2 linked regions of the Callithrix jacchus genome follow. The protein of the gene in region 2 interacts with the protein of the main gene of each other region in a pairwise test. Links are inferred from orthologs where the notes say so. Each region holds a gene or a part of one and is shown on either strand. Other genes may lie near its edges. The genes, in order: FABP3 and SHTN1.

Evidence for each region.
Region 1: the proteins of SHTN1 (region 2) and FABP3 interact in binary tests that used the Homo sapiens proteins (3 or more experiments, as listed by UniProt). The two-hybrid records come from large-scale screens. The link is inferred for Callithrix jacchus from reciprocal best matches to the Homo sapiens genes SHTN1 and FABP3.

The regions. Positions count from the first base shown.
Region 1 is NC_133508.1:68,013,362-68,017,976, forward strand, and holds the start of FABP3 (fatty acid-binding protein, heart), read right to left. Parts: upstream 2,802-4,615; 5' UTR 2,740-2,801; coding exon 2,667-2,739; exon of another isoform or gene 1-2,666. UniProt on the Homo sapiens protein: FABPs are thought to play a role in the intracellular transport of long-chain fatty acids and their acyl-CoA esters.
Region 2 is NC_133513.1:109,830,236-109,833,312, forward strand, and holds the end of SHTN1 (shootin-1), read right to left. Parts: intron 2,469-3,077; coding exon 2,246-2,468; 3' UTR 701-2,245; downstream 1-700. UniProt on the Homo sapiens protein: Involved in the generation of internal asymmetric signals required for neuronal polarization and neurite outgrowth.

The sequences.
Region 1 (4,615 bases), on a different chromosome or scaffold from region 2:
GGAGTTAGATACAAAGGAAGTATTTGTCCTCTTGCACAGATTGAGGAGGGTCTAAAGCGGTAGCAACAATGAATTAGACTCTGCTGGGCATGGTGGCTCATGCCTGTAATCCCAGCACTTTGGGAGGCCAAGGTAGATGGATCGCCTGAGGTTGGGAGTTTGAGACCAGCCTGACCAACATGGAGAAACCCATCTCTACTAAAAATACAAAATTAGCCAGGCGTGGTGGCGCACGCCTGTAATCCCAACTACTCGGGAGGCTGAGGCAGGAGAATCACTTGAACCCAAGAGGCAGAGGTTGCAGTGAGCTGAGATCATGCCATTGCACTCCAGCCTGGGCAACCAGAGTGAAACTCCATCTCAAAACCAAAACAAAACAAAACAGTGAGTGAGATTCAAACCCAAGTCTCCTGACTCCTAGTCTAAGGCTCTACAGAGACTATCTTCCTGACCCAAGCATGGCTTCCTTGGGTACGAGGCAAGTCCTACGTGTCCTGCAAGCAAGTAAAGAACAAAGAACTAATCATGACTGCCCCTTCTCCCCCCAGCAGCTTATGCTGAGCTGTCCTCCAAGGCAATGGTGAGGCAGGAGGCAGTCCAGTGTAGTGAAGTGGTGTGTATAGTCTCCAAATGTGCCTGGCTGCATAGTGCTTACTGGAGCTAGGTACTCTGCACATGCCCTACATGAGTTGTACTTAATGCTTGTAACAGCCCTGAAGCTTAGATTATCCCCAATTTACAATAGAGAGTGAAGTGTCTCCTCGAAATTCAAACGGAGTAAACTACTGACGGATTTGAATCTAGGCTCCAAAACGGCTCACTGTTTCCACTAGGCCATTCTGCCCAGCACATACTCAATCCAGGCCACCAGTTGTGCCGGTGGTCACTGGTACTAGATGGGACCTCTTTGCCCCTTGAGAGCCCTAGGTCTACAGCAGGAGGGGCAGGGGCTATGCTGTCAGCCTACCCTTGCCTGGCCAGTGAGGAACTTGGCCTTGCCCCTTGGTGTCAGGAAGTCAGGCCAATGACACTCCCATGCACAGAGCAGGACTGTTTGCTTAGGACCTACCCAGAGGTATAGAGTGTCTGAAGAGGAAACCACTGTGGGATAAGTGAGGGTCTGAACCAAGAGAAATTAAGAATATTGAGCTGACAGAATTTAGGAGACTCAGAGATCTGGGTTCTACTTAGAAATGAAGCCAGTGCTATTTACTGAGAGCTGAGGAGGGTCTTTTCCCAGGCTTCCTGTTCCTATGAAAAAGCAGGCTGCCTTAGCATAAGCTGCTGAAAAATAACAGGTCTTTAGGGAGATCGCTCCCCACCCACCCAACTTGGGGCGGAATAAGGGAACAACAGTGGTAAAGTTGTTTCAGCTCAGTCCAGGGACTCGACTCTGGCCTAGCTTTGGAAGGAGGAACTAAGTCTGGGCATTCCAACTTCCCAATAGCTGCTGGGGTGTGTTAGTGGGGGTTGGGGGGCTGTTCCTCTAAGAATGACTGCCTACCTGGAATTACTGGGCATAGCGCCCAGGGTAGACTAGGGGCCGTTAAGAGCTTTGACCTCTCCATCAGACCAAAGCAGTAGAAGAAGGGCTGAGGTCAATCATTAGCTAAGCAGTTCCTACTTTGCTTCCCACTCCCAGGGCCTATAGGGTAGTGGAAAGAGCTCTGGGTAACAGATCTAGAAACCTTAGGTTTTCATATCAGCTCTGCTGTGGAATTGTTATAATACATTTCTACTCTCCTGGTTTCAATTTCCCTGTTGAACCAGACGGTATGGGAATCTCCAAGTTCCTCACCTGTAAGATTCTTTGAATCCTTTTTCTTAACCATCTCAACACCACAGCAGTTCTTCACAGCCTCCTAAACCAGTCAACCTCCCTCCCAGGTCTTGACCTTGCTCTGACACCCTCTACTGCACAGTAGAAGTCCAATGGCTTTCTCTGCCTACCCTTTGCACAGGTGGGTGAGCCTTGGGTTGCAGGAAAGGCCCAGCTGATGATGGGCCTCTTGCCCCACCCTACCACGAGGCTCACAGACAGTGATTAAGGCCTGGTTACATATCACCGCAGGACAAGGTCAGACTAGCTTGGGAGAAAGAGCATTTTCAGCAACAATCCCCTTCCCTAATCCAACATGGAGAGATGGGGATTGCTGCTTACTGAAGGTCCCTGTCTTACCTCATCCTCATATCTGATTCACTGATACACGTTTTTTCCCCACCGATCTTCCTCCTAGGTATTTCCTACTTGTTTAAGGTCATAGTACACTCCCTAGCTGCCCCATTCCCTTTCTGGGTTCAGTCTCCTCCAATTTCTAAACTACCCATGCCCCGTTCTTTCTCTTCCTTGACTAGACTCCCCTTCCTGTGATCAGTGTTCTTTATCCAAACCCTCCTCCTACCTCCAAATCATATATCTGTCTTCCTGGAAAGAGCCTCCCACACAGCTGCCTCCTTCCTCCACCTCCCTACCATGGTCTCTAACCAGATTTGGACCATGAAATCCCCTTCCGAACAGGCTCTACCTGCCCTAGCCCAGGCCGCCATTCCGCGTTCCCCTATTCCCCAGTCTTAACCAAGAGGGATGCAGCAGGAGCCCTGCGTGGTGCTAGGGATGCCACCAGCCCCTCCCCAAGCCAGCATCCAGAGCCCCGCGGCTTGCTCACCGAGTGACTTCATGTAGTCATCGAAATTCTTGCTGTCCACTAGCTTCCAGGTGCCCAGGAAAGCGTCCACCATAGTGATGCTGGGCTAGGCTGAGACAAGCTGCGAGAGAGCAGGCGTGCAAAGATTCGGACGGCGGCTCCGTGCCCGGGCTGCTGCTTTAAATAGCCCTCGCATCACATGAGACGTGGCCCACGCCCCCGGCTCCCGAAATAGGAAGCCCCAGGCTAGGGCTCACCCAGGAGGGGCTGGTCCGCCATCCCCCAACCCGCCGAGGTGGGAGGGGACCAGTCAGTGGCGCCCTGCTTGCCTGCGTCAGCGCCAGTGCCTGGCCCCCTAGTCTCTACCCCAGGCTGGCAGGACCATCTCCCTTTCCTGGCCTCTAGGCACTCTGGAATCCGAGAAGGAAGCAGCCGGCACCGGCCGGAGAGCTGGGGCGCATGCCATGGATATCTTCCGTAGCCCAGTCCCTCTTTGAGCTTGGGGTCAGAGCAGAGATGAGACTAGAAAAGGAAAACTCGACCTTGGGCTGGTGCCCACGCCGGGAAAAACTCTGGTTGACTTCTGGCGCAGGCATCCGTCCTCGTTTTACAAGTGAGGAGCCCGCGGCTCAGCGGGGAACTGGCAAGGTCTCAAGAAATAGCGGGTGAATGGATCTTCAGATTGCAAGCTTAGCCTAGCAAGGCCGCGCTGTCCCTTCACTCCCACTGCCTGGTGGCGGAAACAATTACCAGGGGCTCCGTTTGCGGCTGAGCTGACCTTGTCTTCTGCCTGTTTTGTGCGAAAGCCTGACCTTTCGCATCTGCGCCCGCCTGCTCACACGTGCTTGCCCCTCCCTGCAGAATGTTTCATGCTGGCCCTCCTCCCGCCCCGCCCCACCCCACCCCACCCCACCCCATCCTACCATCCAACTCCCCACCCGCCCCTGCAAGTGCTTCGGGCTTTTCCAGTCTATCCGCACAGCTCCAAGTTTTAGCTCAGTTCCTTCCCAGCTCACCCTCCTTCAGAAATTCTGCCAATTCGGTCAGCTCTTCAAGGCCCACTGCTGCCTTCCCCACCTGCTGCCTTCCCTGACCTGTTCACACTAGCAAGTCTCTGCACTTTGGGTACTTTGCTGCCTCCTTTCCAGAGCCTGTTGTGCAGTGGTTTGACACTGTATAGTTCACTAAGCACTTTGAGTGGATGTAAGACCTGCCTTGTATTGATATTTATTGCATGCTGAGGGCTTTAGGTATATTGTTTCATTGGAATTTTCATTTTTTTATTATTTTTTAGAGACAAGGTCTCTCAATGTGTCTCCCAGCCTGGAGTACTGTGATGCCATCACAGCTCACTGCAGCCTCAAACTCCAGGGCTCAAGGGATCCTCCCACCTTAGCTTCCCAAGAAGCTGGGACTGTAGGCACACACCACCAAGCCTGGCCTCATTGAACTTTTAAAACAAAATCCATGAAATAGGTGTTACTATATTATCTTGTCTTTTTAAATAGATGAACAAGCTGAAGCTCTGAGTTCACTTATTAATTCAGCAGTTATTAAAGTACCTACTTTGTACCAGGCCCTGCTTTGAAGAGAGACAACAGGGAACGAAACACATACTCACCTCTGGGCAGCCAAACACAAAACTAATGTGACTTTAACGGGGGTCCAGTCCTGTCCTGACCTGAGGCTCAGTGTAGGCTTCTCAGAGGAAGTGAGGTATAAATTAGTTTCTGAGTGATGGCAGGAGGCCCAGCACATGAAGGAGTAGTGCGGAACTGAACTTCAGCCAGCAGCAGCCTGTCCAGGGTGGGCCTGCAGGAGCCAACACAGGAGCCCTGAGGCCTGCCAACTCGGCCACGTGCATATAGTGTGGCAGGTCTTCCTTCCTGGGACTCTGTTTCTCCATGTGAAAACCCTGCCTCCCTTTTCCTCCCTGGACTGTTCTGGGAACAAGGCCAGGAAGGAAGAGC
Region 2 (3,077 bases):
AATAACCTTTTAGAGAAATCAAACATCAAGATGCAGTCTCTTCCAACTTAAAATCGTGTACACAGGTTGCATGTAAGTTTTGTGTGTGCAACAGCTATGAACATACTTTGCAGATATAAGCATAGTTCTCCTATGTCTTCCTATCTGGAATACCTTGCTTTGGTTGACAATGTCACCCCAGCCAGGGGCAAAAACCCCTCAAAATCCAAGTGAAAAGGGAAAAACTCTAGGCAGAAAAGGTGAGTGACAATCTTACATCAAATACTTTATGTCAAATTAATTTAAAATTCTTTGTAATCACAGTAGGAGAAACAAAGCAGCTTAAAAAACGTAAAAACACTCTCAAAATACCTGATACGAACTGTTCCCTAGTCCAGCTAGCACATTTCACCAAAAGGGCAACTTCTTACTCCAGAAAGGAAGGTGTTTGGATAACCATATTATTGTGTTGATGGTGTGATGAAATATGGAAAGACAGTGTACACATATTTATATTCTTAAATGTGTGTGAGTTGCATACTGGCAGACGGATCACAGATGCAAGAAGGAAGACAGCACAAAGAAACATGAAAGAAAACGCAAACCATCTAAGGGACTATTAAAAGTTACTAAAGTTGTCAACTTGTATACAGTTTTCTATTAAAGAACGTCAAGCTTCGGGAGCTAAGCCAAAAATGTTGATAATAACTACAATTGACCCTTAATGGGAAACTGTTGGTGCCTTTTTAATAAGTTGTGGTGAGGAGAGTTCATATTACAGCATAACAGAATTCGCTTAGTGAATTAATGCAGTCTGTAGTTAGCATATCATATAGCAGTATTGTCCAGTCAAGGAAAGATACAGTTGAAAAACATTACATTTTAAGTCTCCATGAGTAAAGTGATAAGTAACTGTAAACTCATCATTGGGAGAACATGGAAATAGTCAAGCATAATGAAATTACAGAAAGATAATTATCTCCAAATTTAGGAAGTACATGTACCTGCCTACCCACCTCTTCAAGCCTATGCTTACCACACGTGCAAAAATACAATACAATACAACTACTGCAATTATTACTATCATTTTCTTTTGCCCTTAGGTGAAAAACACCTGAAAGCTACATGCTGAGCCATGCTAACAAAACTAAACCTTTCACTTTCTTTAATAGTAAAATTACCATTACTGAATCATTGTCATAAAAAGTGCATTTAAGTACATTACCACTTATTTTAAATAAACACCAATTTTGAAACAATCAACTTTGAAAAGCTGCATAAGTTTTTTTTTAAATCCTTGATTACATTTCTATTTATTCATTGTGGTAGCCTGAAACATTGTATTCTTAGAGACTAACTACTGCTTAATTTCTTTTTTTAAAAAAACAACAAACCTGTGTAATATAGAACAGCAGTGAAGCAAGAAAAATGTGTGCTTGTCACTTATCTTCACTGTACATAAGAACTGTGATAAAATACGGTACTTGTGCCACATTAGTATATGGGAAAACATAATTAACTCATAGCACAGAGCACTTGGTTTACCAGCGTATTACTGTTAAATTCAAGGTTTAGACTTCCACCTCAATTCTGTATTCAGGCTACCAGAGCATCCCCTCGGAGGTCCTTGGGAGGCTTTGGACACAATCAATATCATGTATTTTTCATCCAATAGTTAACAATGTGTGTAATTAACACTGACTATGGGACTATGAGTTTGATGCCAGCTCCTGAGTTTTAAGTTTATCTCAGTCTACCATAGAAAATAACTTGTATGCCACAGTACCCAACGATTTCCATGCTGCTGCAGTTTCTCCATCAAGAGGATCAGACCCAAAACAGAAGCTTCTTGGGGGGGGCTTTTAAAATCGTATTAGGTTGATCAGTTTTGTTTATCAAATTATCCACAAGCACCTCAAACTTTCATCATTCCATTTGATGAGTGGTATGCACATTTCCTAAAAAGGTATCAACATCTGAATTTTTTTGTAATCTTCTAAAGGAAGTCATACTTAATACAGCAACTAGGAAAAGAAAATCTCATCTTTATAAAGATCAAAAAACCAAAACCTACTAGGAACGTGTATTTTGCTAAACAGCTTACTTATGTTTATAGTTGCTACTTACAAAAGTGACACCAGAAAAGAACCTGTGTTCTGAATACAGTGACCAGAGCAGAATGTCTATGGCCCTTGCCAATACACCCACACTAGTCGTGTGCTTATTGAAAAGGACTTCCAAACATGTCAGGCTTCTGGTTTATGGATTAGCAGTTGGAGCTGTCTGTCTCTCTCACGTTTTCAATGCTGTCTTCTTTGTTTTCTGGTTTAATTTCGCCTTCATCCTTCTTGTGTTGAGTTGGATCTTTTTCAGCAACCTGGTCTTTGGTTTGGGGTTCATGTGTAGAAACAGGATCTAAAACTACAACTGGTTCGGCTTGTTTTTCACCATCAAAGTATTTTTTCCTGCATCCAATGCTACTGGGAGGCCTATGAGATGAAGAGTTAGACAAAAATAAAAAATAAAAATAAAAAGCAGAGAGAGAAAATAGTTGTCTCTGATATTCTGTATTCAGAACAACATAAAACCCAAAATGTTCTAAGTCTAATCAACATGCATACAGTCATCTTTGAGATGCCAGCCATTTAAAAGAAAACATGAAGCTATCGGATTACACAGCTGATATTAGGAGCACAAGGCCAGAAGGAAGAAGGCAGAGAAAGAGCGATTAACTAACTACCAAAGTATAAGAAAGCCAAACGCACCTACCTGCTTAATTGCATGCTCTTCTCAGGAAGCGTAAAGCTCATGGACAAACTGTGAACTTCTCCTCATGGCCTGCTGCCCAGACTCCCGCCCACCCTCACTTAGCTGGAAGGAGTCAGTTAACTCCCTTCCCTCCTACGTGTTCCTGGGTATGGCTGGTTGCAGGGCATCCCTGAGGAGCCTGCATGGACGAGGGGAAGTAATTACCCCTGATCACTGATGGACAGGTGAGAGGCATGCCTGCTGCTGCCATTACCAACTAGAGGAGACCTGGCCAGACCTTGGGAGGGGGTGGCAGTAGGATCAAGGGCAGAGAGAGAGTCAGAGTGGAA